3 linked regions of the Rattus norvegicus genome follow. The protein of the gene in region 3 interacts with the protein of the main gene of each other region in a biochemical or structural test. Links are inferred from orthologs where the notes say so. Each region holds a gene or a part of one and is shown on either strand. Other genes may lie near its edges.

The links.
Region 1: of the proteins of Mapkapk2 (region 3) and Zfp36, one has a biochemical effect on the other in vitro, tested with the Homo sapiens proteins (2 studies listed by BioGRID). The link is inferred for Rattus norvegicus from reciprocal best matches to the Homo sapiens genes MAPKAPK2 and ZFP36.
Region 2: of the proteins of Mapkapk2 (region 3) and Zfp36l1, one has a biochemical effect on the other in vitro, tested with the Homo sapiens proteins (2 studies listed by BioGRID). The link is inferred for Rattus norvegicus from reciprocal best matches to the Homo sapiens genes MAPKAPK2 and ZFP36L1.

The regions. Positions count from the first base shown.
Region 1 is NC_086019.1:92,794,429-92,804,008, forward strand, and holds Zfp36 (mRNA decay activator protein ZFP36), read right to left. Parts: upstream 4,681-9,580; 5' UTR 4,641-4,680; coding exon 4,599-4,640; intron 3,929-4,598; coding exon 2,990-3,928; 3' UTR 2,200-2,989; downstream 1-2,199. UniProt on the Homo sapiens protein: Zinc-finger RNA-binding protein that destabilizes several cytoplasmic AU-rich element (ARE)-containing mRNA transcripts by promoting their poly(A) tail removal or deadenylation, and hence provide a mechanism for attenuating protein synthesis.
Region 2 is NC_086024.1:104,662,830-104,672,431, forward strand, and holds Zfp36l1 (mRNA decay activator protein ZFP36L1), read right to left. Parts: upstream 5,862-9,602; 5' UTR 5,749-5,861; coding exon 5,692-5,748; intron 3,390-5,691; coding exon 2,430-3,389; 3' UTR 819-2,429; downstream 1-818. UniProt on the Homo sapiens protein: Zinc-finger RNA-binding protein that destabilizes several cytoplasmic AU-rich element (ARE)-containing mRNA transcripts by promoting their poly(A) tail removal or deadenylation, and hence provide a mechanism for attenuating protein synthesis.
Region 3 is NC_086031.1:45,106,394-45,115,836, forward strand, and holds the start of Mapkapk2 (MAP kinase-activated protein kinase 2), read right to left. Parts: upstream 5,934-9,443; 5' UTR 5,633-5,933; coding exon 5,396-5,632; intron 5,383-5,395; exon of another isoform or gene 1-5,382. UniProt on the Homo sapiens protein: Stress-activated serine/threonine-protein kinase involved in cytokine production, endocytosis, reorganization of the cytoskeleton, cell migration, cell cycle control, chromatin remodeling, DNA damage response and transcriptional regulation.

The sequences.
Region 1 (9,580 bases), on a different chromosome or scaffold from region 3:
CGTCTGTTGATTTTTTTTTTTAAAGATTTATTTATTTATTATATACACTGTAGCTGTCTTCAGACACACCAGAAGAGGGCATCAGACCCCATTACAGATGGTTGTGAGCCACCATGTGGTTGCTGGGATTTGAACTCAGGACCTCTGGAAGAGCAGTCAGTGCTCTTAACCACTGAGCCATCTCTCCAGCCCAGTAGTGAGGATTTTGAACTCTAGTGTCCTAACAAGTTTCCCAGAGCAACTGACTACAGGGAGGAACGAGAGAATAGGTACTTTTAGAACTGGGTACTAGCAAGTGGGCTTTTGATGAGAGGGCCCTAGAAGCTGGAGTGATTTGTAGACTTGGCTGTGTCTTTAAAGCAGGTCTAAGGGGCTCGTGTCATAGCATGCCTAGTGTCCAGAGGCCAGGAGAGGGCTCTGGATCCTCTGGAATTGGAGTTGTCAGCCGTCATGTGGATCCTTTGCAAAAGAAGCAGGTTCATTCTCAACCTCTGAGCCATCTGTCCAGGACTGGAGAGGTCATACACCAGGGTTTGGCAGATGTTGAACAAGTACTCTGTACTTTGCTACTTCCTCAAAAGAACAAGAAACTTTCTGAGGGGACCAGTGCCAGGGGTGGTAGCTGTGTATCCCTTTCTTCTAGTGCCCATCCATTTCTTCCTCTCAATGTCCAGTGCTGCTTACCTCTACCTACCTGGTGCCTCGGGGACTTCTGGGTTTCTGTTCCCCTCTCCCAACCCTGTTCTACATACCAGGGCCTGAGCTCTTTCTCACAAGGGAGGCAGTTTCCTGCGAGAGGAGACCAAAGGTCAGTAGAATGGAGTGAAAGACACACAGGTTACGGGTATACTGTTAAGGGAGGAAGCAAAGGGCCTAGCAGGAAGGACTACCATACAGGGAGACCATCTTAAAAAACAAACGGAACAAAAGTCCTAGGGGCTATGAGACAGAGGGGGTAACGGGGAGGAGCTACAGCAATAGGTGGGAGGAGTTGGGGAGAAGAAAAGAGGAAGGATGAGAGGGAGGAGGCTGAGAGGAGGGGAGGAAGGGGAGGAAAACGAAGAGGGGCGGGGCGCGGGCCCTGACGCGGGCAGCTTCCGGGTGCGGCCCGCCCAGCCTAGGCTGGCTGCGGTCTCGGCCTTTTTCCTTGTATGGTCGGACGACGAGGCTGCCCTACCCCTGCGCCCCGAGAGCTGAACCAGACGAAGTTCCGGAAATGCCCGATCAGGGTCTGTAGATGCTAGAAGGCCAAGATTCTTTAGGTGTCTGGAGACACTCAAGTTGCCTGGTGTCGGGGCCCGAGATTCCAAATGGAGCCTAGAATTTTCACACTTCTTTAAAGCCCCTGCTCCAAATCGGGAGGGTTCATATCTATAATCCTAAACATTCATAAGGTTGAGGCAGGAGGATTGCCAGGAGTTGCTCAGGGTTCAGAGGGAAACCCAGCCTTCCCTTCTTCCCCACCCTGCCCTCCAAAAAAACCAAAATCCATAAAGAATCGGCTGAGAGGGCTCAGCAAATATAAAGGCGCTTGCTACTAAGTTATAAAACCTAGTTCGATCCCGAGACCAACCAACTTTGTGGAAGAGACCCGATTCCTGACTAACACACTACACGTTAAAACGATAAAATTGGGCATGGTGACCTGCGCTTGTTATCCTAGCATTTCAGAGGCTGAGGCAGGAGGTTGCAGAGAGTTCAGATCAGTGTGAGCCAGGGTCGACCTTATTTAAAAAAAAAAAAAAAAGTTAAACTAAAATAAGTCCTCTGTCAAGCTCGCCCAGGCTGTCTACGCGGGGTTCAGAGTCCCCTAGGGGCCGGCTTTGGGGTGACCCCTGACCCTGGCCGCCCGGGCTCGCCTTCCGGCACATTCCGTCCTCGCCGCCCCGCCCCACCCCTCCCTCCTTCCTTGGCCCTGTGGGGACGGAAACATCCTGTCCCTGCCCGAGCTGGGTCAAGAGCCGGAGGGACAGGCCTGGAGCACCCCTTAGCCAAGAGAACTAGCTCTCCTTGTTCCTTTTGGGTGACCTCATCCCGCCACGCCTCCTCAGGTGAACAACCGGGCTAACGTCACTTCCTGCCAGGTAAGCGCCCCCCCCCCCCCCCCCCCCCCCCGGCAGCAGTGCTCACAGGAAGGTCTGGAGGTCAGTTTACCCACCATCACAAGGCTGTGGACCACGGAAAAAAACAAATTTCATCACAGTTCACACTCAAGATTTTATTTAAAAATTCCAAAAAAACCCACAAAAATAGACTTGTACGGTAACAATATATTACTTAATATATTATAGTATATACTTAATACAGTATCAGTTTTAACATTACAAAAAGAAAAACGGAGTAGACGACCCAATATATATAAATACTATAAAATCTTATTACAATAAATAAAGTCGTCATAAATAAAGGGTCCATTGGTTGGGGCAGGGGCGTGGGGGAAAAGGGATTTGGCAATGGCTTTGGCTATTTGCTTTGGGAGGGAAATTTGAGCACCAGGATTCTCAGGAGAGGCTACAACCACCGGACACTGAACTTCGGGGTCTAGTAAAAATTAGGATAGTATTGTGGGAGCCGGCTCTTCACAGCACTTAAGATTCCAGGAGACCAGAGTTTCCGAGGGGCTGGTGCATACCTGTAACCCCAGAACTTGGAAAAGGCTAAGGCAGGATTATATTGAGTTCAAAGCCAGCCTGGGGTACCGTAATAATCCCCTATCTCAGAAACAACATAAGACTTGAGACCTGGAAGATCAACTGTCAACTGTACCCCTCAAACATGCTACATCTCAGGTACCCTAGGAACGGATCCACCCAAACACTGAATTTGCAAACTAGGGACCTGCCCTAGCCCAGCACCAGGGGAATGGGTTAATGCAACTTGGAATGTCCAGGAGGAGGGACTTAGAGGAGTCCCCCCAGGTCCCCACAGCAACGAGCAGTTCCCTCCCTCTTCTTTGAGATCTAGCTGATCCACACTGGGCAGGCACTTGTCACTCAGAGACAGAGATGCGATTGAAGATGGGAAGACGCCTTGGGGGTGCAGGGGGCTGAGGAGGCCCAAACACCCCGGCCTCAAAGACAGGCGAGTCTGACCCACCCAGGCTGCTGCCGCTGCTGGCGTAATCATCAGGGTCGGATCCCAGAGAGTGTGCAGATGGGCTCCGAGCCAGACCACCCAAGGGCCCCCAGATGGTGCTAGGGGTAGTAGACCTTCGGCAGGAGGGACAACAGGCTGGGGTAGGGTCTCTTCGAGACACAGGGGTCCCAGGGGCAGCAGAGAAGGCAGAAGGGGAAAGTGGAAGGTCCCCAGGCGGTGGTGGGGAGCTGGAAGGCGAAAAGGAGCAAGAGGACAGGGAAGGGCCAGAGAAGCCTGGAGGTGGTGGTGAGGTTCTGCGGCCTGAAGGCAAGCCTGAGAAGCTGATGCTTTGTCGGAGCACATGGGGCTGGCCAGGGAGAGCCAGGTCCTCGGTAGGGTTGTGGATGAAGTGGCATCGAGAGCCGTAGGGGCAGCGGCCCTGGAGGTAGAACTTGTGGCAGAGTTCCGTTTTGTACTTGGGGTGGCGATTGGCTTGGCGCAGTTCACCCGGGCCGTGGGCAAACTGGCACTTGGCCCCATAGCGACAACGCCCGCTCTCTGAGTAGGTCCGACAGAGCTCAGTCTTGTATCGAGAGGAGGTGGTGGGAGTTGCAGTAGGCGAAGTAGGTGAGGGTGACAGCTCAGGGCCCGGGCGGGGAGCCAAGGGTGCGAAACCAGGGGGTGGGGGTACCCAGCTGCAGCTTCGGCCCTCCACCAGGCTAGTGGAGCGGCCAGTCAGGCGAGAGGTGACCCCAGATGGGATGGAGTCCGATGAGTTTATGTTCCAAAGTCCTCCGGAGGACTCAGTTCCTCCGTGGTCGGGTGACAGGTCATGGCTCATCGACATAAGGCTCTAAGGAGAATAGGGTTCGGTTAGGCCACCAGAAAAGGTAAGGTGACGACGCCCCGCCCCTGTGGTAAAGCACTTCACGAGCTTGTCATTCCGGTTTGTGGGTTCTCAGCCTGAGCCCCACCCGGCTCACAAATTTCAGGGAGAACCTGACTACAGAGGTTTGGGTGTTAACAAATGACTGAAGCTAATCCAGAAGGATCTAGGGAGCCCAGTATCCCCGATGGATCGAGAGAGGGTACCCCCAAATCAAAGCACCACGGCTGCTCGCCAATTTTGGGCCTTTAGACCTCCCCGGATAAGACCGCCCATCGGGCGCTCGTTTCACAACTTAGAGAAGCCGGCCAAAGCTGACCCAGGAGGCCAGATCTCTCTAGGACTCTGACCGGGTCAACTCCCCGCTCAACTTCAACACCTGCCTGGCCGCCAAACCGCGCCATGGACAGCGAAGGGTACTAGACAGGTGTGGGGCCGCTTCCGCCCTGCGCGAGTGACAGCAGTGCGCCAGCTTTCCGTCCCCAGGGGATCGCCGGTATCTAGACCGAGGCGCCGGGCTCACGGGCTCCCTCTCTCACTTCCAGCCAGTTAGGGCTAGTCTGAGAAGGAATGGAGGCGTCCGGGGCCTAAGTTTGGTGCGTCGAGGATCCGAGAGTGCTGTCTAACCAGTACTCACCTCGTAGATGGCAGAGAGATCCATGGTGGCGCGAATGGCCATGGAGAAGAGACCGACAGTCGGTTCGCAGAAGTCAGGCTGTGGGACCGCCGCAGGAGCTTTCGCCTTTTATGGGGCGGCCCGGGGGCGTGGCCACGAGAGCTTCCCGGACGCGCCCCCGCGGCGTAGCCCGGCCGGCCTGGTACTAGGCCCCTTCCGCCCATCTGCTGGTTAGCATGCACAATGTGCCTGAACTTGGCTCTCCCACAGCCCTCTCCCACGAGGTTAGTGGGGAGGGCTGTGTACCACAGATTTGGTGGTGATGGGAGTGGGGCGTCTGACTAGTTTTCAGAGGTTGAAGGTAGTCGGGAAGAGAACTGGGGCAGAAGTGGGGGCAGGGCTCTAGGGACAATTGACAAGGGCAGAGACTGAGAGGGCGTGTGCGTGTGAGACAGACGGGGGCGGGGAGAAACAAGCTGGTAGAGACAGAGATGGCCAGAAGCTGAGAGAAAAACAAAGAGACAGTGAGAGACATTCACACTGGACCCGCTGGTTTGGGATTGTGATTCCAGTCACTTGGGGAGGCTGAGGCAGGAGTCTGGGACTTCAAGGCCTGGCTCGACTGTATTGTGGGTTCTAGGGCAGCCTAGGTAACTTAGTGAGACTCTTGTCTTAAAAAGTAAAAAGGCCCCAGATGTTGGCTCAAACTTTTAATCTCAGCACTTGGGAGGAAGAAGCAGAGGGATCTCTGTGAGTTCGAGGCCAGCCTGGTTTACAGAGCGAGTTCCAGGACAGCCAGGAATACACATGAAACAAAAGACTGGCATATGGTTGTGATCCTGGTTCTGACCTATACGGAGTGGGGAGACAATAGGGAGAGGGGCCTGGGACACAAATCTCAGTGAGGAAGCCGGTTACAGAAGGATGAAAAGGGAAGTTGAAATAAAAACTAAAACCTGAAGGCACAGAACCTGTAAGACAGTTGGCTCAGGTAGGGACCGCTCAGAACTTTACTTCGCTCAGCAGCGCCCTTCCAAGTCTAGCAAGGCTGGACAGAGCCCATTTACCCAAGCTGCACTTTAAATTAAGAGGTTTTGCTTCCGAAGCTCAAGGCTGTAACAGCTTGAGTCTTTTATTAGGGAGGAAGCTCGCCTCTATTAAAAATATGGGCCACCTTCAACGTTGAATGGGTTTCTTGTAGTGCAAGCAGTCTTTAAGCAAACTTTAAACTCTCTCGAGGTCTGTAAGGGTTTTGTTTTTAGGTCGGGTCTCCTTAGCAGGCCTGGAACTCGCGATCCTCCAGTCTCCACCACCCAAGTAGTGTTAGGATTACAGAAATAGCTGCCACACCCAAGTAAAAAGTGTTATTTCAAAGATATCTCCAGTGAAAAACTGTTCTTGTGTATGGGGGTTATCATTGCCAGGAGTGTAATTACAATGCCGGGAAGTTCTAGCACGGTGCGTTGCGCACTTGTATCGAGATAGGGAGATTCTGCCAGGCTTCTCACTGGCTTGCCTCATAGGAGAGGGGTGTGTGTGTGTGTATGTGTGTGTGTGTGTGTGTGTGTATGTGTGTATGTGTGTGTGTGTGTGCGCGCGCGCGCGCGCGTGTGTGTATGTGGGGAATCCCTGGTGCAGCGCTTTCTGGGGCCAAGGGGCCTTCCTGGGCTGGTCCCGTGAGCAGGGCGGGCCGTAGGCTGCTGTGGCACGGTTGCGGCCTCCCGCTTGCCCGTGACTCACTCGCTTAGGGCGGGGGAAGGGGGCTTCCTGGAAGCCGTGACGAGGACGCTCAGCCCGGACGCTTGGGTTCCTCTCTTGTAACCAGGGTTCCAGTCTGTTGTAAACAGTCTCGAGGACAACGGGAAAAGAAGGGAAGGAGGGGCACAAGAACTTGCCTCCCGCCCAGTTTACAAATCCCTGAGCCAGCCAATTTTAGGACCAAACGCAAAAAGAAAGGGTTGGGGTGGGGCATGCCGGGGGTTTTCGGAGGCCAGCTGGGACTGGATCATGGAGGAGTAATTCCAGTTTCGATTCCCTGGAGACTGGGAGCCTTTTGCCATCCCTGACTCAGCCTGACCCCTCCTCTATCTGCTGAGTCATTGGGACTAAAGTCTGGCAGCCTGGTATTGGGCTACACTGCTGGGGTGGGAGATAGAGGAGGGGTGTAAGCATAACAACCCCTCTGAAAATCAAGACTTTAAGCTGTAGGACTCAAAGTGAGACGTCATTATCTAAAATATGGGGTCAGGTACTCAGCTCTTTCCTGCCCCACATCGGGTGTCTTGGCGCTCAACCCTTGTTCCTTTGCTTGTCCAGACACACAGATCACCTTATTCAGCACCAAGAATCCAGGCCCTACTTATTCTCCTTTAGAACCCATCCCACCCCCCACCCCCCGCCTTACTCCCTAAGACCTAGGGGTCCAAGTCCCACCGACTTAAGAGATCTAGGCCCCAGCCCCTGTTCTCTGGATCTAGGAGTCCCGAGTTTTGTCCAGTTCCCGTTTGTGTGCCCCAATCCCAGGAGGAAGTTCATGGCCTGACTCCTCCCTGCTCCCCACGTAGCCAGCGGGGAAAATCCGCGGCCCAGGCAGTGGCGGGAATCCCCTCTGGAATGACGGTGGGGAAGGGGACGGCTAAGGTCTCGCGGGACACGCAGCCACGTCCTGTGCACTCTGGGGTTGGGGGCTGGGGTAGAGAAAGGGGCGGAAACCAGAGAAGCTAAAAATATAGCAAGCACTTCCGGCCTAGGGGGAGGTGAACTCAGAGCTGAGTTTCCAGAAAAACAAGCAGGGACGGGAAACGCGGGGGTGTGAGAGCCAGTGGGCGGGCTGGGGCCGTGTACACGCGGCACGTGTGTGCCCGTCGTGATTGCCTGTGAGTGTGGTCCAGGCAGGGTGTTCCAGAGGGGACAACCAGTATGCCAACTGTAGTGTGCCCAGGGGATTGGGAGCTGTGCTTGCTCTGCATGTGTTGTGTGGGGAGCTCCTAGTTATGTAATTGAGGGCGCAGGTGCGGGGACGTGCCTGTGACTGATGCTTAAGTTTTCCATAGAACAGGGTTCTGTAAATAAATGTGAAGCCACCTGTCTGTGTCACTGACTTCTCCACATGTGCTGCAAGTGGCCTCTGGAGAATTGTCAACTAACTACTGCAGCTGTCTTTGAATGGACTTCATGGGAACTGCAACTTCCACCCCACCCCCACCTATCTGTGTGTAATTGAGCCACCGTGGGATCTGTGCTAAGTGTGCCATTCCTAGCAGGTGTCTGGGTGCTGGGATTGTACACATAGGACCTTGAAGTAGAGTATGTGGGGATTCTGTGGCTCACTCAGCGCTGTTATACTGTGTGTACAAATGTTATTTGTGGGTCTGTGCCCTTATTTGTGGCTGTCTTGGAGGTTGCCTGTTCCTGACAATGTGGTAGACCTGAGTCTGGGCATAGTTCCTCTGTGGACCAGTCATAAGGCAGTGAAACCAGTGAACTTTGGTGCTTGACGTAGCTGCAGGCGCGTGATGGGGAGTGCTGCGGCTTACTGATTGTGTGGCGCTCCTGTGTCTGCTTCTGTGGGCAGAACAGACTTGCACACACCCGCACCTAGATGCTGAGTGTCTGAGCCAATCTTATCTGTCCCCAGTGAATGAGGCTGCTCTGCCACAGAGCTGAGTCAGCCTGTGATGGGCAAAGTCTTGATGGGGTGAGAGATAGTGGGTTAAATGGTGGTTACAGGGTTGGGTAGTCACGTGGTTAGATGGTTGCTTTAGTGTTTGTGGTACTTGGTCATGGAGCAGGGTCCATGTGTGTGGGAGGATGGCCAATGTGCTAATCTCTGCTGGAGGTGGGGCATGTGCCCAAAGTTGGTCTTTTTCTTTGGGGGCAAGCAGCCTGTAGATAGGTGAAGCAAGTTAGCCTCGAACTTGCGGCAAGCCTACTTCTCAAGAGCTGAGATTACTTTGGCTGTGGTTTCCATCTCATACACATAGTCCCTGGGGTGGGGTTTTGTACAGGCCCCCACAACCTCCCCTGTGCCTATAAGGCTGGGAGAAGGCAAATCTTAGCAAGGACCTTCATGGTCCATCTGGGCTTTCTCCCCTGTGCTCCCTGAATCTAGCCCAAGCCTCTTCACTCTTCCTGCCAGGGGCTGGCCTGTGTTCTGCATTTCCTTCAATTTTGCTGAGGGTGCATCCCAAAGACCTAATTCCCTTTCCTTCAAATCTGCTCTCACCAGCCCAGTAAGAGTTTCTTTGACACAGACAGCTCATTGTTGTTCAGGCTGGTCTCAAACCATACTCTTGCCTCAGGCTCTCAAATGATGAATGTAGGCCAACAAACTCCTTTTAAAAATGTGTGTGGCAGTCAGAGGACAACTTAGGTGAGTCAGTTCTCTCCTTCCAACATGCAAGCCTGAGGGATTGAACTTAGGTCACCTGGCTTGGTAGCAAGTGTGGTTACCCATTGAGCCACCTCAATGGCCTAGACACCCATGCCCCTTTTCCTCTTTGGAGACAGGATCTCCCTATGTGGCCATCTGACTTCACAACTTGTATAGGTCCTCCCTGATGCTGGAACTGCAGGATTAAGTACCATGTTGTATCTTGTCCATCTCTGGAACCAGCAACTCCAAAGCTGCCATGTTTTTGAATGATTGTAAACTGCCAATTATCTTCTAACGGTGTGGGTGTGTGGAAGACACACCTGTTGCCCCATGTTGTAGCAAAGAGTGTGGTTTTAAGCAGTTAGGCCTTGTATCCCGGGTGCCACACCTCCCCTCATGTGGTAAGATGACATCACTGAGGGGTCAGCTGTACTTGTCTTCTTGAACCACAGACTACCTTACTCCAGACAATATACAGTGAGCCCCTGGTCATGCTCTGCCTTGGACAGGATCAGTCTCTTTTCAGTTATATACAAGATTGCTAATTCCCTGAACTATTTCTAGTCAAGGAGATGTATGTTGGGTGCTCAAGTGACAAGACCCATGGTGAATTTGATGCATCCCTTTG
Region 2 (9,602 bases), on a different chromosome or scaffold from region 3:
ATGTGCCACAACTGGCCTGGCTGAATTTCTGACCAAGGAGACCCTACCACCTCCCTATTTTTCATGGCACCTGAGGTATAGCAGCTACTGTGATGGGAACTATTGATTTCCTCTTAGTCTATGTTAATCTCCATCTTCCCTTTACAGTCCGGGTGCAGACAGTCCTTTCCCATCCTGGTGGTTCCTCCCATACCCGTTCAGGGAAGTAGACGCTAGGACCTTGCCTTGGTTAGTGCCTGTGAGACCAATACCTATGAGAGCTTGAAGCATTTGATCCAGGCCAGTCAGCCCAGCATGGGCTATACCTTTCTCAGTAGCACCCTGACCATACCCCCCCAAAGGAAGTCCCCAGTGGGAAACCTGGATGTGCCTGCTATAGCTCCCTAAAGCAACCAAGGACACACAGGTTACCCAGGACCTCCCTCCACCCCACCCAAGCTGAGCGGAACTTAACGCATCAACATCCAAAGCTATGGGTTTAAGCTTTAAGGATGAAAGACCAGCCTCCTCGATGCCCCAAGGAGCATCAGACCCACCCACGAGGAAAAACACCTATAGACAAATCATTTCTTGAAAAAACGGGGTTTATTGATTTTTAAACTGCAAATAGTCGTTACAAAAAGTTTTTTTTTCTTTTAAATAAATTCACACAAAGAAAGAGAAATAGAAAGCGACGGTAGTGACCAGCAAGAGGAATAATAATTACATTCATCTTTATGTGTGTGCCAGTTGTTTACATCAACATCGGAAAACTCCAACCTGGAGTCCAGAACCTCAAATCTGCAAGCGGAATGTCTTGAGATGGGCACATGGAATTCAAAGGGTTTTTCTCTCTCTCTCTTTTTTTTTTTGTTTTCCCTTTTAGAAGCTATACATAAATGGTGGTTTTCCTTCTGTACTGTCACAGAACTTATACATTCTCAGTCCTACCTGTGAAAGGCCTAAGGAGAAAGAAACTCAATTTGCAGTCCAACACAAAGGGGAGAATTTCTAAAATAAATAATCCAACAGTTTTTTGCATTTTTTTTAAATTAATTTTTCATTTTTTTAAAATAAAATAACCAAAAAAAAGTGTAAAGTTACAAAAATGTTGTTGAAGAATAATATATTAAAACTGTGGAAAAAAAAAAGGAAAGACACGTCACAAAATTTTAAGATTAATATGAAGATCATAATTTAACATAAAAGAATATATTCTATGGATTTGTCATCCCGATAAATATGAACAAAATTAACAAAAAAAAAGCATAGTTTGGCAATAAATACGTCTTGATAAGTTAAATAAGCTTTTTTATATTGATGTGCAGTGATAAAGCAACATTTTTGCTCTCCAATTTCTGAAAGTTAGATGAAGTTTAAACCCAGGGACAAAAGCATGGCGTGAGGGCTCTAAGGTAGACCTAAGGTATTCTAGAGCAAAATCCATTAAAGCTACGTCTACAGGAAATTGTTTTACACAGATATTGTATGTGGAATGAATACCATTACTGCTCACCCCTTACATGGTTTTCTTCTTTTTTTTTTTTTTTTTTTTTTTAGCTTTTCTCTCATTTGTTGTCATTTTTAAGATGTCACATATGAATTGGGGAACTTTAGCACCAAAATCAAGTCTCTCATAGTCCATCTAGTTTCCCCTTCCTCCCCACTTAAAAAAAAAAAGAAAGAAAAAGAAAAAAAAGAAATTAAATCACAAAGTCCCACTTATGTCAAAACCTTCGTCCAACTTGTTCAACCTTTGTCCCTGGAGACCTACACAAACCCAGGCAAGATTAGTCAACAGGGGTTCGAGCTGGGAAAAAAAAAGGTTTTGAATGTCAAAATAGGTCCCCACCCACCCAAACCCCCGCCCCCCCCCAAGTCCAGCAACAATTCTCTGAGGGAGGCAAGTATCTACAAGGAAGAGGAAGAATGTGCGGGAGACTGAAAGGAAGGTGCACTTGTGTGGCCAGCTGAGGGAGCTGCTGGTTGCGGGTCACCGCTCCCCCGCCCCCAAACCCCACGGGCAGAGGCTCTGGGAGGCCCACGGGTGCCCCCTGGCGTTGAAGAGGTAATGTAGTCACAGTGACAAAGTTAGATTACAAGGCACTAAGTTGCTTCTGTAAACGGTTACTGCTTTTTTTCTTTTGTGATTTGGCACTTAAGGCTTAAGCCGAAAAAAAAGGCATCTACTGACAAAGATGGGACTCTGTTATGCGTGGTTAAGTGGGCTATGAAATGGAGGGAGGGGGTTTTCAAGCCAGAAGCTACCAACAAATTGACTTGTCCTTATGTTGGGGGAAGGGTAACATACCAAGGTTCTGGGAAAGGGGTTGAGCTTAAATGTATGAATGTAGGGTTTGAAGGAAAGTTAGGGGGTGGGGAGGTGAAGGTATGGGATGGGGTGCAGGGTGGAGAGGTGAAGGAGGCAGGGGGTCCCTCCCTACCCTGGCTTAGTCATCTGAGATGGAGAGTCTGCTGAAAATGGGCAGGCGTCTTGAGTTGTCCAAGGTAGGGGAGTCTGAGCCACTGTGGCTGCTGCTGGAGCTGCTCAGGTAGCCCTCATGGTCCGAGAGAGAATCCTGAGGGCTGGGGGGAGAGTCAAACATGTGAGGGGATTCGGACATAGGCCGGAAGAGGAAGGTGGTGGGGGAGCCTCCCCCGGGCAGCCCCATGCTAGGAGCAAAGAGGCTCGCCAGCTCCTGGCTGGAAAAGGCGAAGGGGTTATTGGTGCCATCGGGCAGGGTAGGTGAGCCCAAGAGGTCATCGGCGCTCAGGATGGGGGGTGGGGTGATGGACGTGGGGCTGTCCAGCAGCCCCGTGGCAGCGGCGGTGGCAGCGGCACTGGGAAACCCAGCAAAGCTAAAGCTATGCTGGAGGCGGGGACGGTCAGCGGAGAGGTCCCGGCCCCCCGCCAGGGCGCGTCGCTCCTCGGCGTTGTGAATGAAGTGGCAGCGGGGCCCATAAGGGCAAAAGCCGATGGTGTGGAAGGTGCGGCACAGCTCCGTCTTGTACTTGGGGTGGCGGGTCAGGCTGCGGAGCTCGTGGATGCCGTGCGCGAACTGGCACTTGTCCCCGTACTTACAGGCACCGTTTTCTTCGAAGGGGCGGCACAGCTCCGTTTTGTAGCGGCTGGAGTTGACCTGGCCGCTCCCAGGCTGCTTCTGAGTGGGCAGCAGCCGCTCGCCCCCTTCGGAGAAAGAGCGGTCTCGAAAGCGGCTGTCGCGTGAGCTCAGGGTCGGGGCCGGCTCACCCTTAAGACTGCTGAGAAGCTGGTTCTGATGGAACTTGGAGCTGGGCAGAGTGACCGAGTGCCTCCGAGGGAAGCCCCCGCCAGCAGGGGTGCCCACTGCCTTCCTGTCCAGCAGGCAGCCCCCAGCACTGGGAGTGCTGTAGTTGAGCATCTTGTTACCCTGGAGGGAGGGGGGAGAAAAGGACCGGTGAGTGACTGAGGACATCCACGAGGTCAGGGCATGGTGTCCACAAAGGACAGCACCTTTCATCTGATAGGCCTGTCTCTCTAAAAGGAGCCACCTGGGGTTTATTTTGGCACTGCTCATAAGAAACTACAAAACCCTGCCCTGTGTGGAAGAAAAAAAGTTACGTATTCAACCTGCTCCATGCTGACCCGATACGCAGCTTGACCCCCAAAGCCAATTTTTTCACTCGAAAATCCAGGCCCTGGTTCAAACATTCCTTAACTCAGAATCTTTCACACAAGACAGTCCCCTCTAACTTTTCTTCCCCTAACAGAATCAGGTAAACCAGGTTTAGAAGTTTAGAAGACTAAGCACCAGAGCCAAATCCTCTCTCAATCAGTCCCTGCTTACCCGCCATCCCCTCCCCCCACCCCCACACACATAAAATCTAGCCCCACACTCCATTTCCTCTTCCACAAATGTACCCTTCCTTTGGCAACAGGTCTTCAAACTGCACTTTTTCCTTCCTTTCAGAAGGGCCTAGTCTGGGATGTGGGGAGAAGGCTATATGGTGTCTGAAAACACAAATGCATGGCCCCCAAGCTTCAGGAAGGGTACCCCAGACCCTGGGAGGGACAACTCCCAGCATTCCCCACCCCCTTTCACTGGAAAGATGCCTTTGCACTTGGTCTCCTGGCTGCAAGAGAGGTCTGGATAAGAGCTCCAGTGTTTAATCTTGAACCAAAGTGCAGATGAGAACGTACCAGCACACACACACTCCACGACTCAGTCAATTGTGTGTGTTGAAGGGGTGGGGGGAGGTGAGCAGGGACAGGACAAACCCTAGTCACCTGCTCAAACGACCTAAGATTTAGAAAGAGTGGGGGTAGGAAACTTGAAAGTTATCTCCAGGCCCCTGACACATGTGGGTGTGTGTCATTGTGCAAATTCTAAAGTTAGTCCCTTAGGATCAGCAGCAGGGGATCGGGAATCGGTAACCCTGTAACCGCAACCACCCCACCGAGCGGATTACAGGAACCCAGAGGAGAGCCGGTTCCCAACAATGAGGTTCATTTAAAAAGTCCTGCGGGGGGAGGGGGCAAAAGAAAGAGAAATAGATCAAAGAGCGGGCAGCAGGGACGAGAAGGATGGAGTTGCCTAGCTCAGGCAGCCGCCGGGGCAAACAGACTTGGAAAAACGCAGGGAGGGAAAGAAGCCGAAAATGCAAAGTTTTGATGTTGCTCTACTGCTCCGGCAAGGCCCTGCACCCCAACCCTGCAGCCCTGGGGCCTTGGCAGCTGCATCGACAGGAGCAGCAAGCTAGGAAGAGAGCAACATGACCCGACGTGTTTAAGGGAAGGCAAAAACAGTTCAGCAATTAAAAGTAGCCTAGCAGCTTCAGCCTTTCAAATTGGGGGGTTGGGGGATGTAGAGTGGGTAAAAAATTAACAACATCCACAGAGTTGAACATTTCAACCGCACTCTTGGAACATTACGGTTTTAAAAGTTTGTGTTTTGTTTTGCTTTCCGAAAACCTGACTGGCAAACTACCCCATTTTGGCCCTCTTAAATCCTAACTGGCGGGAACTTGAGGTCTGGCAGCATTTTGTTCCCCTATTCCTTAGTCAACGAACCGTAGTGCCTCACACACAGGTAAGCAAACACTTTCAGCCCAAAGTTTGCAGCATGATCGACCAGCTCTCGCGGAGGAAGCCTAGTTCAGCTGGGGCGGACAAACTCCACTACAGAGTCACTTTGCCTACATCTTTTTGAACCTTAAGTTGGTCTTTTTTCTTCGCCGCATTACCTATTAGCCTCCCAAAGCAGACAAGAAAATTCTCCCAGTCACATACCGCCCTAAGTCTTGGTTTTTCCTAGAGACCCCTACGCCACAGGCTAGCAAAAGGTGTTGAGTAACCTCGAACACCTCCAGCGGGCACAGAAAACCCAGAGTGCACACCGTGAAGCCGAACCCATCCGCTTACCCCAGCTCCAGCGGTGCACCATGCAGAAAAGAACCCTTCAAAATTTGTCCCAATCCTAACCACTGTTCCGCACTTCCTTGCCCCGCAAACTGGAGCAGTCGCCCAGAACTTTGCTCCCCGAATTCATATAGAACTTCACCTGGGACCTGAAACTTGGGAGTGAGGACGACATGACCAAATTCCTTCACCATGGAGGGAAACACAAGCAATGAGTCCTTCACTCCCTCTACGCTGTTTCCCCAGACCCAAACTTTTAGTTTCTTTAAGCCCAAGAGAAACTTTCAAAAAGCCAACGCTCCGCCCTACTTTACCTTGCATAAAACTTCGCTCAAGTCGAAAATGGTGGCGGACACGAGGGTGGTGGTCATCGTGGGCGTTCGCACGGGGCAAGGACTAGGATCTGTTGTGTCGTGAAGGTCCCGGTGCGGGGAAGGCGCAGCCTCCGGCTCTCCGGTCAGGAGTCCCACACGCCTGCTCCCGGCGCCCCTCGCCTTTCTGACTCTCCCGGGCTGCGGCGAGCAAAGCCCAATTTATAAGATATGAGGGTTGGGAGGGTGGAAGGAGGAGCTTTAAACTTATTTAAATGAAGAAGAGGAGGTGGAAAAAAAGTTGATTGACACCGAGGTTGAATCAGCCATGCGGTCAAGAGGGAGGGAGGGGGAGGGAGGGAGGAAAGAAACTTTCAAAAGGAAGAAGGGGGAGGGAGACGAGGAAAGAAGGCGGAAAAAAAAAAAAAGCACTCGGAGCGGCGCAAAACTTTTTTTTCTTAAAGAGGAAAAGTTTCGAGTCCGCGGGCTCCGCTCCCGGGCTCTGGGGGCGCCCCTCCCCTGGGCCGAGCCGGGCAGAGGGGGAGGGGGGCCCACCCTTTGTCAGCCTCGCTGCTCGGCTCTGTGACATCACTCATTCCACCCCCTTCTGAGTTCTGGTTGTTGTGTTTGTTGATTTTTTTTTTTTTTTTAAGGGTTGGAAGGCGGGCTCGACTCTCTTCCCCCAACCCCCCTTTCTCTCCTCTCCTCTCTTACTCTTTTTTTCTCTAGCAGGAGCTGAAGCTGGTCCCGAGCGGGCCAGGGCTGCGGTTTCCATCTTGAGCTAGTGTCCCTTGAAACTTCTCCAAGTTCCCGCACGACTTACCGTCTCCTGACTTCCCTGTCCACACCCGGCTACCCATCGCAAAACGAGCCGGGAGAGGAGTTTAGGAATGCGGAGCACCCCAAATGTTCGAGTCAAGAGTTTTATGTTTGTTGTTTCCCACCAATGGGAAAGAGAAGTAGGGGTGACCAGAGAAACTTTTCCTCCCGGAGAGCCCAGCCTGGCGGGGGCGAGAGCAGCAGGATTTTGCGCGCAGCGCTCGTGTACACGCGTGCTGGCCCGCAGCCTGCGCTGGCCCGGTAGGGTGGGGGCACCGTGGACTAGACCACTGCCTGGGCAGAATTCTTTTAGACAGACCTAGTTGGGGCGTCTCGTTCACACAACCGATCTTTAAACTTGCTACTACAGAAAAATCCAGATTTTCATGGGCGCCCCTTGAAAATAAAAGAGCAACAAGTCACTTTCCGCGCGCGCTTTGAATTCGGGCTACCTCCTCCACACATCCCCGAATGTTAAAAACAAGGGGAAAGAAGTTACTTTGGTAAGAAGGAAGGTAGAGGTGGGGGAAGCGACACTTTTAACTTCTTGCTGCTCTCCCGCCCCCACGCGAACGGAACATATGGCTTGTCACTATGCCCTGTTTGGGGGTGCCAAGCAATAAGACCCACGGAACCCAATGGCCTTCAATGAATTATACCGCCCTTTAAAACCGCGAACTATGTGTTTATTTACTATTAGGTTTGGCTGCCTCCCACCGGCACAGGCTCGCGTGCTGCAGTGGAGACCCGGGCGGAAATCGCGGGCCGCGCCGCCCAGGCCTCGCACGTTTCTTCCCAGCATTCGAGGCCGCCGGGTCTGTTATGAAACCCGGTGAGCCGAGTGGCTACGAGCGAGTTCCATTGCGATGTAATTAGGTCACCCCATTACAAGTACGTTTCTCTGGAAAGGACGGAGCGGGCGGAGCGGAGCGTTCGAGGCGCACCACCCCTTACACACACGCACACTTTAAAAAAAAAAACAAAACTTTATTTATCGCCAGCTTCTGGGCAAACCCAGGGAAACCATCCAAATCACAACTGTTTTAGAAACAAGTTTTTTTTCTTTTAACTTTGCGAAACACGACTTTTGCTGCAGCCCACGAGCCTAACATTAATTCCCCGCGGAGTCTCTGCTTGATTCGTCTCCAGTGACTTGAATTGATGGCTCCCCCATTTTTAACACGGCTGCTGCCCCTGGGTTTTGGTGCTGCTGCTGTCCAGCCGCCGGTTGCTTCCCTCCCCCGCTCCCATTTTTCATCTTTTCTTGAAATCTGGCAAGCGGCAAGAAGGGAAATAACTTCCATCCACCTTAATTTAAATCATTCGGGTTTGTAGGTTTCTTTTTAAAGGGATGTTTGCTCGGTCCCCTCCCCAGTTCCAAGGGGGTTGATGTGTGCGCGCGGATTTCGTGCCGTTTCTCGGTGATGAGGTAATGAGTTCCAGATTTCGGGACAGAACAGGGTGCGTTAAAACCACAAGGTTAGACTGAGTCCTGATGTGAAGCTATTTCGGCTTTTCATTCCGCACGACCCGCCCGGCTGGTCTAAACTCCCGAGTGTTTGCGGAGCTCAGCTGCGGGAGACTCTGACCGGGGAGGGGCGACCTCGCCCGGTGGTGCTGTCCCTGGGGCGGCGGAGCGGGCTTGGACACTCCGAACTGCCTAAGTAATTTTGTTGTTTTTCTTTTTTTTTCTCTCTCTCTCTCTCAAAGAAGAAAGGCGATTCCTCGAATTTCCTACCCCTTCCCAGCTCCCTTGGGCCTCCCCTCCCCCGCTTCCCGGGGCGCGGGCTCCGCGGGCGGCGCGCTCCCGGGTTGTTTACCCGCCCCGCCGACCGCCCGGGTTTGTTCCTGCTCCCAGAGCCCGTCTCTATAATTAAACTCTTTTTTCTAATTGTCGGGTTGCAACGTCATTTAGGGGACTTTCCAGGGAGGTGGGGGGAGGGAGCACTCCTTAACCCTTCGCTAACCCTGCGTCTAGGACACAAGGCCCGCGCAGAGGCCGGAGACCCGCAGGTAGGCCGCAGGTACCCAGCCAGCCTGAGCCAAGCCGCGAGGCTCCAGAGACTCGAGCCCAGGCCTCCCATGCGCCGGGCCGCACAGGCCGCCGCCTTCACCTGCGCCGCCGCTTCCGCCCGGGGGGCGCCGCTGTCGCCGACTTCCGGTTCGCGCGTCCCCGGCCGCGCAGGTATTTTGGGGGTGGGGGCGGGGCCGCGAGGTTTTGAGACCCGAGAAAGTGAAAGTCCTCGGGAAGTCCGGAGGTGAGGAGACTGTGTGAGTCCGCCAAACCCGAGCCGAACCAGTTGACCTTGCTGAGGGGGAGCTTGCGGCGCGGGGTCGCCTGCCCCCAGAAGGCGGAACCGGTCAGTGGCGCCAGGCGACGCCTCTGAGAGCCTAGAGGGGTTGCGTTTCCTCCTAGGCTCCCGGTCATTTGCGAAATCTCCCAAAGGCTTCGGATTGAAATCTGATCTTTCCCAGTCCTTGCTACTTGAGCCCTGGGGGTGGCCTCGATTTCCCTGTGTTAAAGGTAAAAAGAACTGGCCCAGTGAAGCCCTGAAGTTACCTGGGTTACCTGTCTGGATTGTGGACCCCAGGCACAGTGATTCAGATCCTCTAAGGATGGACCCAAGGAACTGGCACTGAGCAGTTGGGGATTCAAGTGTTGGTTCTGTCTTCTAGCTGTGATTTATTTTTATTTATTATTGACACGAGGTCTTGCTATGTTGCCTAGGCTGGCCTCAAATTTGTGTATTCAGGGGAGCCTGGGAAGAGTCAGGTGGGCTAGGAATGTGTCACGAGAACCTGTTGTGTAACCTTTCTGAATATTCTGATTATTACTACAAATGCAAACAGTAGGCATGGGAGTCTTCGAATAGGGGTAGAAACCAGTCTCCTATGTGTTTAAGTCCTAAGCCCCTCAGAGCACTTAGTATCATTGAGCTGTCACATCCTCCAGAACCAGGCAATGACCCCAAGGACAGGGCAGTCCAGATCCTACTGTAAATGAAGCATTTGCCCTGGGTTTGAGTCCTTAAGAGGTGAAGATACAAGGCTATCTCCTAGACTACTGAGAGTCCAACCCTGATCCTCGCTGGGAC
Region 3 (9,443 bases):
CAGCGCCTCTCCTCCCTGCGGATACTCTCTGAGCTTTCACGAGAGAGGTCAGTCGGGCAGTAAAGATTATTACACATTACACCTGTCAGAGGGCATCCACGCTGGCCCAGGTACTGGTGACCATTCAGTGCAGAGCGAGTCAGCAAGCCCCTCACCTGCCCTTGGTGTCTGGGGCCCTGGGTAGACTCTTCTGCCACTGCACACTGCCAGAGCCGCCTGGCGACAGCTGGAACCCAAATCTCAAAGTCACACGATTAGTTAGCAGGGCCTCAAACCTAGACCGCTTGATGGTCTACTGTTGGTTTTCGTTTTGTTACTGTTTAGATTATTTTTTCTTTTTTATCTAGCACATAACCCCTAAAAGCAGGTCCATCTCTATTATATTTGAACTTATGTATGAACTTATACACCTCGAAATATAAAATATTAGAGTTTAAGATCCTCAGGGGTATCAGTCCTAAGTAGCAGAAAAGACACACTTCAGTCTTACATGTACGATAACATCTAGATGTTCTGGCATGACCCCCTTCTCCCTACCAACGCCCCCATTGACAAGGGAGGTGTGTAAAAGGCTTCTTGGGAGAAGACCAGGGAGCTGAGTTTGAGGCTGACAGGTCTTCAGTAGCAGCGTCACTTCCTGCTGGCAACCAGATAGCCTTAGGAAACCCACACCGAGAGCAGGTTCCACAGCATATGGCTACACTGCCCACAAGCAAGCAAGGCGTTGATACACACCAGGGAGCCTTTCTGCAGCAGCCCAGCCTCTTCCCCAATGGGATAGAGGAGGTGACAAGGATGACCAAGGAGTGCCCATTATTACTCAACTATCAAGAGACGTTGCATTCCTACCAATAACTCTCCCCTGCCCACTCACCTCCATCCAAGGTATGGAGCCACAAAAACATGGTGGATGGGGGGGGGGGGGACTGAGACCTCAACATGACCCTTAGGAGGGTGTGACACAGAGAAGAGGCAGGCCAGTGAACACCGATGTTCCACACAAACAACCAGGGAGAGCAAAGCAGGTCTGCTGTGGCACCTCAAAACTATTCATCTTCCCCCCCAAAAAAAGAGAACACCATGTTTCCCAGACCCTACACCAATATGAGGCCCAGAGAGAGAGGCCCATGATGGTTTTTCTCCCTAACTCCCCCGACTTTTAGCCACCTAACCATAACTTTAACTAGAGATTTCAGATTCCGTGAAAAGTCCAAAATTCAAATGAAAAAGGACCGTTGGATATTAACTAACCCATTTCTAATCCTGCATCAAGAGAGACCCAGAGTCCTGCTTTAGTAGAAAGGTCAGGATCACGCCGGGATAACATGTCTGCTGTCATCTTCCAAAAGAAATATTCTCTGAAGGCAGAAATTCAACCTTTCTGTCCAAAAATGTACAAACCCCCAACCTCAATGCCACCTAGCCTTTCTTTAGAAAATCCACAAGCCCTGCCCCCTTCTCCCCAAAAAGCAAAACAAACAAAAAAGAAAAAAAAACCACTTTAAAGCTGATTTGACCCCAAGACAAGTTACATTCAGTCCTCGAGCCCCACTGCTCCTGACCTACTTGGTCTCCTGCTCTTCCCCTCAGCTCTAGCCACAGCCAGTTTCAAGACTTCTGGCAGGTCCGTTCATTCCTCAGGGGCCCAACAAGTTCCCACTGCCACTAGCCAAGGCTTCCCTCCCTCGCAGACGCCTGTCTTTCAGAACACCTCTATTCCTGGTCACGCGATGCAGCCCCCAGAACAGCAAAGTCCAGTAGTCTTTCCTGTGAGAATCAAAAAGCTTCTGCGTGCTCAAACTGTGGCTGGCAACTGCATTTTCCATTTGGTTTTATGCCTGCATATTGGCTACTTTTACATAAACAGCTATGTACAAAGAATGGCCACCATACCTGACAATGCTGCCCTAGACTACATTTACTGATCTTGCCTACTCCAAATAGGTTTCTTGACCCCCAACATTTTATAGGGCATTAATGCCTCTGTCCTCTAGCCTAATAAACATGTGGTCAATGCTCCACAAACCGTCGACTCCCTGGAACCAAACTGGATGGCACGATCCTCCCCTCCTGTTTTCATCCAGCAGGTGTCAAACTGAGACTGCCCCTGCCAGCCACACTATCGGGCCATCTCTCCAGTGAGGACACAGAATGAGGACATTGCTGGAGAGGTGGGGCCCAGGCAGTGAGAGAGCGCTGGTGTTGCCCTTCAACAATGTCCCAGACAATGGTGAGAGGTTCTAATCTCCCCATCGTGTTACCAAAAGCAGCTACGTCACTGACCTAGTGAGGGAGGCACACTGGGGAAAGAAACTACAGGACCTTGCTTCCCTATCTGCGCAATGGAAAGATAAACAGAGATAAGTTATGACAACATTCCGTATCTTGCAAAGCAATAACACGCTTCACCTAATCGGCACTGAACAGCAGAGTGGGACAATAATACCAGCTTTAATTAAATTTGCTCAGCTAATACCTAAGCGTCACCATGACACAGTGAGGCAGAACAAAGTCATGTAGCCCCATGGGGAAGAGAGACAGCTCATACACAGACGGATTGAGACTGGGTGTCCCTACCAAAGAAATTACAGAATCCCCAAAGAGTAATAAATAAGATGTCTATCACAAACTCCTTAATGGGGGTGGGGAGACCTGCTATGCATCCAAAACTCAAGGGTCAGAGCAGCTCCTCACACCCCAGGCACTCTGAAGCAGCAACCGGACACTCGCTGTCAATACCACGGCAGTTACAAGTCGAGAGGGGCCCGAGACTAGGAAACCGAGGAACTGGGTTCAGTTCTCGCCTCGGTCAAGGGAATGGCAGGAATCACCACTTGCCTTCAGCAAGTTGTGTCTTCATTCTGGGCCTGGGTTTTCTCATCAACTAAATGAATGTGTTGGATGGTGATGACCTCTCAACTCGCTTCGAACTGACTGGAAGTGTGTGCATGACTAGGGGCTAGCAAGCAGGGACGGGCAAGCAAGGTGACAGCGTCCACCAGAAGCATCTAAACATCGGCTTTCCCAAGAGAATAAAGAAAAGTAGCAGGACCAACTGGTTCCTTTACTTATTTATTCTTATTTTATGTGTAGGGGTGTTATGCGTTTGTGTGTGCGTGCATATGCATGTGTGTGTGTGTGCATGCGTGTGCATGTGTGTGTGTGTGTGTGTGTGTGTGTGTCTCAAGTGCATAATGGTGAGCACAGAGGACAGAAAGAGCTCAGATGTCAGAGCCCCTGGAACTAGAGTCACAGGTAGGTGTTACCCACCTGAGTCCTCTGCAAAAGCAGCAAACGCTCCTCACAGCTGGGCCATCCTTAGGTTAGTTTTTATTTTTTTTAAGCCCCGGTTTCACTTAATAGAACAAAGAGCAGAACCTAGGAGCAGCCTTCATTTCCCATCATTCCTCGGGGCTATAAGACAGGCTTCTAAATCCCCATGAGAGCCAGGCTGGGCACTACGTCCCTAGGCATGGACTCAGTACACTGTATAGAGCACAGGTCTCTTCCCAGTACCCAAAGGGATCATCAACCCAGCCTGTTCCACTGTTTCCTCTCCCCGTGCTGCCCCCACTGTTTTGAAATCATTTCACTACTCAGCACCTAAAGTTTTCAAAGCGTAAGACTCGGCGGCAGTGGTGGTGCGTGCCACTGAAAGAGGATTTCTTTTAACCAGATTTCCCTCAAGGCTGCGATTATGTCTTAGCCAATATTTGGGTATGAAAATGCTGTTGACACGGCTGCCACTCTCCAAACATCTTGGCTCTCCTTTCTTCCTCTACTCAAAATCTCAACACAAAGATGTACGGGAAATCTGCAATCTGCCATCTGAGTCAGCCTTGAAGATCTGGGAGCGGGCTGCTTGTCAAAACAGTCTTCACCTACCCCTGACTAGAGAAGGGTTAGCATGAGGATGGTTTAATATGCTGCTAGCTTCTTTTCCTTTCAAAACTATCCAAAGGAGAAAAGTACACGAACTTCCGTTAACTATACCAGAAATCTGAATTGACAGCCTAGAGCACTTCAGAGGACAGTGTATTCAAACAGAATAGGAAAGGGTAAAGCAGGTTTTTCTGTTATTGTTGTGAAGTCTTTAGACTGTGTTCCAGCTAAGCAAGAGAATGAACAGCCAGTGTCCCCGGTCTGCTGATGGGTAAAGGCAGATGGCACGGCAGAGAGAGAAATGTTTCCGGAAAGAACATCTGTCACTTCCTCAACAATACAGTTAACTGTGGTCAAACTGTTCCTTAGCCTCCAGTCCCCAAGGTCAGAGCCACCGTTCGACCCAATCAACTCCTTTCCTCACTTACTTACTAACAGGGAAAGAGAAGTGAAAAGTACAAACGCTTCAGTATTTGGGGCCGTGTTAAGAGTCCCTCCCCAGCATTCACACCAAGCAACATTTTTAATGTGATGCTGAAGATGAAAACAGCAAAAACATACAAAGTCCCAGGTTTTGGTCCCGCATATGACAACAGTCTCAACTCTATCTGTACTATAGTCTATCTGTACTATAGAAGGGCTGGAACAAAGCAAGTTGTGTGGGCTGAGGGGGAAGAGAAAAATATAACACAGGAAGTAGTTTGCTCCTCCAATCATTGAGACACCTCGGGAGAAAGAAACCTGACAAGTGACCTTTAGAGATACGGTGTAACCTGAAACCCTTGAGAGAAGAAAACTTTGCAGTGACCCTGAATGACAGAGTCCGGTGGTTCACTAAGACCTTTTGAAATTCCCATTCTCCACTACCACAGACAGAAACAGAGGCAGGCAGACGTAGAGAAATTAAGAGTGGGTTTCCCAAATGCAGGAATAGTGTTTTCCTGCCTTTGAGTCTCCAGCTACGAGGGACCAGTTTATCAGCACTGGGCCAAGCCTTGGCTTACAGACAAGGCTTCCAACGGTGGAGGGAGCAATGGAAACAGCGCGGCGCAGCCTAAGGGGTAGCGCAGGCCAGGCGCTGGCGGTTCCAGACAATCGCGGGACACGGAGGCGGGGTCCCCAGTCTCCAGCGCCGCGCCGACGCGCCCCAGTGCTGCGCGCCGACCTCGCGAGGCCGGAGAGAGCGAAGTCACATTCCGGCTCCCAAATAAGGAGTAGGGTTAAGGAAACCTCAGAGAGCGAACTTCTCCAAACCGACCGACCAACCAGCTCAATGAGTAAAGGGCCTTTTGTGCCCGCAGAAAGGAAGGAGGGAGGGAGGATGGGGCCACCGTGTCCTCGGCTCCGGGTGAAGCGATCAGAGGCCGTCCCGGACCCAAGCGTGGCCTCCCGGCTGGATCCCACTCACACCCCAACATGGCAGTCCCCGTGAGTCCTCTCGGGTGCCGGCCACTCGCGGGGTGACCGGAAGCTGCACCGGATCCCAGCGCGATCCCGGGCGGCCCAGACTTACCTTTAGGGCGAATTTTTGCTGGGTTCTCTTGTCGAAGATCCGCAGCACCTTCCCGTTGATGCCCAGGCCAAGCACTTGGCTGGTGACCTTGTAGTCGTCGGTGATGGCGTTCTTTCGGATCTGCAGGCCCGACTTGACGTGGAACTGAGGGAACGGCGGCGGCGGCTGGGCCGGGGCGGGTGGTGGCGGGCTGGGGAACGGCGCCGGCGGAGTCTGGCCCGGAGAGCCCGACAGCATGGTGCCCGGCGACTCGCGCGCAGAGGAAGGGGCCGCGGCAGCCCCCTCCTCCGGCTCGGGCCCGGGTCCCCGCCACGCCCCGCCCGGCGGCGAAGTTTGCTCCGGGCTGGAGCCGGCTGCCCCGCCCCGGCCCGGCTCCAGGCTCGGCGGGTCGCGGGGCCCCGTGGGTCCCGCTGTGCGCCGCGGGCGCCCACCAGCCCTGCTCCCTCCCCCCGGAGACGAGCGCTCCGGGGAACGCGGGACGGCGGGGCCCGGCCGGGGGAATCGCCGCGCCGAGAAGTACCAGCCCGGGGGCGGCGGCCGCGTCACAGGCTGCTCAGCGTCCTGGGCTAGTCCTTAAAGGGGAGGATCGAGGGTGGGGCTTGGGAGAGGCGTGGGCTTGGGGGAGGGGTGGGCCTTAAAGGGGAGGAAGTCCAGTGGCGGGAGAGCATAGGGAGTGCGAGCTAGCGGTCAGGAAGAGAGCACCAAGAAATCCTAGTTCTTAACCCGGGCCGGGCAGAGGGAAAGGGAAGGAGGGCAAAAGAAAAGAGGCTGGATAATTCAAACAAAACCCTCACTTCTCCAACTGCTTGGATCTAGAAGACAGGTCATCGGGGAATTTGAGGAGGCGGTGTATTTTGAAAGAAACGGATAATTGATAAGAATCTTCCTACGTGGACCCTGGGGGTGGGGGCTACCCGGGCAGTGCGGGGAGCCGGGGGCGGAGAGGGGGGGCGGGGGTTACAGAGACTATTCATCCTAAGATTAGGCGTCAGGCAATAGTAAGGATTTCCTTAATATACTTGTGAGTTTTACTTTTTTTTCCCTCATGGACTTACTGGTTTTCTGAGACTGTATTGCTGTGTTATCATGACCAATTTAGTTATTATGCATTTGAACATATTTTTATGTAAACCCAACATGACCCAAGATAGGAAAGGGATGAGGCACTGTAGCTGCCTGTAATCCAGGGTTATCTGCAGGAGGTTGAAGCAGGAGGATGATGTGTCAGAGGGTCAGCCTGAGCAACAAAGGCAGACTGTGTCTCAAAATACCCATAAACTTCATGTCTCTCTGGGAGGTACACCTATGCCTTTGTGTTCTAAACTCATTGAGATTATAGACCAAGGGGAAAGGCAAGGGGAATAGTTCTTGGGTGGTTGAGGAAATCATCCCTGAGGCTATGACCAATAACTATTCCTGTAGCAGCCTAGTTCTAGTAGAAGTAGAAAAGGGCATTGGAGACATAGCCCAGGAGAATAAGGTTCATTTGCTTTTCCCTGTTTAGATTTCCAGAAGAGGCTTGTCCCAAGGAAGACAGAGGTGGACAGGTGAAGGACAGTAGTTCCCCTCTTGAGATCCAGCAAAACTGAGACGACTGGTGCCCTTTCAAGAAGCACTTTTTTCAGCACTAGGTTCCATGCTCCTGGCTTACCCCTGTGGTGATAATGCTAACCCAGGGGAATGGATAGATGCAGTAGTTGGGTCAGCAGTGTGGCAGATACAGGCCTGGGAATAGAAAGCAAATTAGCTCACTTCAGTCTGCAGCTGGACAGATCCCTTCCACATTGCACACAGGCTAGACAAGTCCCGGTTTCAACGACACTGCTTGAGGCTATGGAGATGCAGGAACAGGGAAAGGAATCTGGAGATGAGGAGGTGGAAGGCCTCACTGGCTCCAGCGGAAGGAGTTCCCATCCTGACTCACTCAGCTCTGTGTTGCCCCATGTACCCACAGAGGGTCTTCAGAACTTCTCATTGGCATTGGCCGTCACCTGTCTCTTTGAGCTATTCAGAGGCAGTGAGGCACAGTGGGAAACTACAAAATAGAAATGAACAGAATCCAGCTGTCCTAAAAAGGTGTGAGAGGTATAACATCCAATACCAGGAATAAAAATTTTCAATTCCCTGGGTTGCATACTGGGCTTCTCAAAAGGAGCCACTGACAATTTAGTCAGTGACAAACTGAACTAGGGGGGATATCTCCAGAGCTGAGACAATCTCCTGGACACCTGGCCAGAGGAGATAATGGGGCCAGAGCTGAGCTGGTCTCTGGAATTCAAGGTCTCATCAAATATAATGAAACTAACATAGCAGCCAGTCAAAAGTATACTAACGTCACTGCTTTGCCCCTACCATTCATAGTAGAGGTTATTAGAGGTTATCTAATCCTTCTGGAAAAGTCCCCTAGCACTGAATTAAAGGAGGCCTGCAAGCCCCTCAGGTTCTCACCATTTCCATGAATGGTTGACCCCTGCGTGCTGGTAATTTCTGCAGAATAAACACTCTTTGCCTTTGCATGCTATTTGAGTCTGGGGTCTTCCTTCAGCAATTCTTGGACCCTAACAGGTACCTTAAGCAAACCATTCTTAGCAGCTCTCTCTGGGAAAATGAGAAAGATCCTAACATTTCCATTTATGACTGAGGAGAAACTGAATGTGATGGCGTCCACGAGAACGCTTTACAGAGCATACAGCATCAGTTCTCGTGAAAGATTAAACACCACCATCCCTCCAGCTTTGCTTCCTTGTTCCTTGTTCTGTTCCCATTGTGTGGCGACCTGTTCCGGACACTGAGCAGCCTTCCTGTGTAAGGGGAATTCTGGGAAGATGCCTAGACCTGAGGTCTTAGGAATAATGGATCACAGAGACCCAGTGAAGCGTTTCTCCTGGAGTTACAAAAGCCAGATGAAGCTAGAGAGCACACAGGACAACCACAACACACACACACACACACACACACCACCACCACCACCACCACCACCACCACCACCACCACCACCACACCACACACCAGAAAAGAACACTCATGTGAGCACAGCTCCAAAGGACAGGGCACCTGGCATGGAGCAGTATGGATGAGTAACCCATGGCTAGCTGGCCGGTAGGACGAACCACAGGAAAAGACACTACAAGAGACCCAGAACCTTCCATTCTAACACTGGGTAGCCATGTGACCTTACAAAAGTCCCTTGCCCCCTCAGTTCCTTCTTTCCTGTCTAAAAAAACAGTAGCGATGGCATCTGTTCTGCCCACGTTGTAGAGATATTATAAGGACAAAATAAAGCCCAGAGTCCTGCTTGTCTAACACCAGGCTCTCAGCCATCTGTAGTGAGCTGCTCAAGCAAAAGCTGTTGAGGATGTGTAAAAGCACTTCAAAAGGTGGAAGTCAGGTTGGGGTTGTAGATCAGAAATAGCGTATACACTTATCATGTGAAAAGTCCGGGCGTGAGCCCCAGAAAAGCATTACAAAGATGTAGGGAATCTAGTTACAAAAAAACATTTAGGATTTATATTGACATGCAGATCAATACCGTGTAATATAGCATACATGAAGACAATTGAAGCACCACACGTATATAGAATTGTATCAGTTGCCGTCCTGGATTCATGGCTCACGTTGGTTGTTAGAGGATTGGTCTCTGCATTTCTGTTTTTCTTAAGTCATAGTTCCTTAATAAATCCAGAGGCACCTGTGGTCCCACTGCCGAAAACATGAACTCAGACTTGGACAACAGCGTGCATCTAAAGCGTTGAATCCTCAGACAACCCTCCGGCCCATCCCCGTGTGTCACTCAAGACAACCATCACTGCGCGCTCTAGTCACCTTTCCCGGGCTTCCCTCTTTATACGGCTTTAGTTTAGGAAGACATGCTTAAAGGTGTCTTTACAAGCCAGATAGAATGGTTTAAACCTGCACTCATCTTTGGAGGATGATGAGGGAGGATTGGTGCAAGCTCCGAAGCCACTCTAGGCTACATAATGAGTTTAAGGGAAGCCTGGGCTACCCGTGGCATGACTCTGTCTCAAACAAACCAAATTTTTAAAGAAAT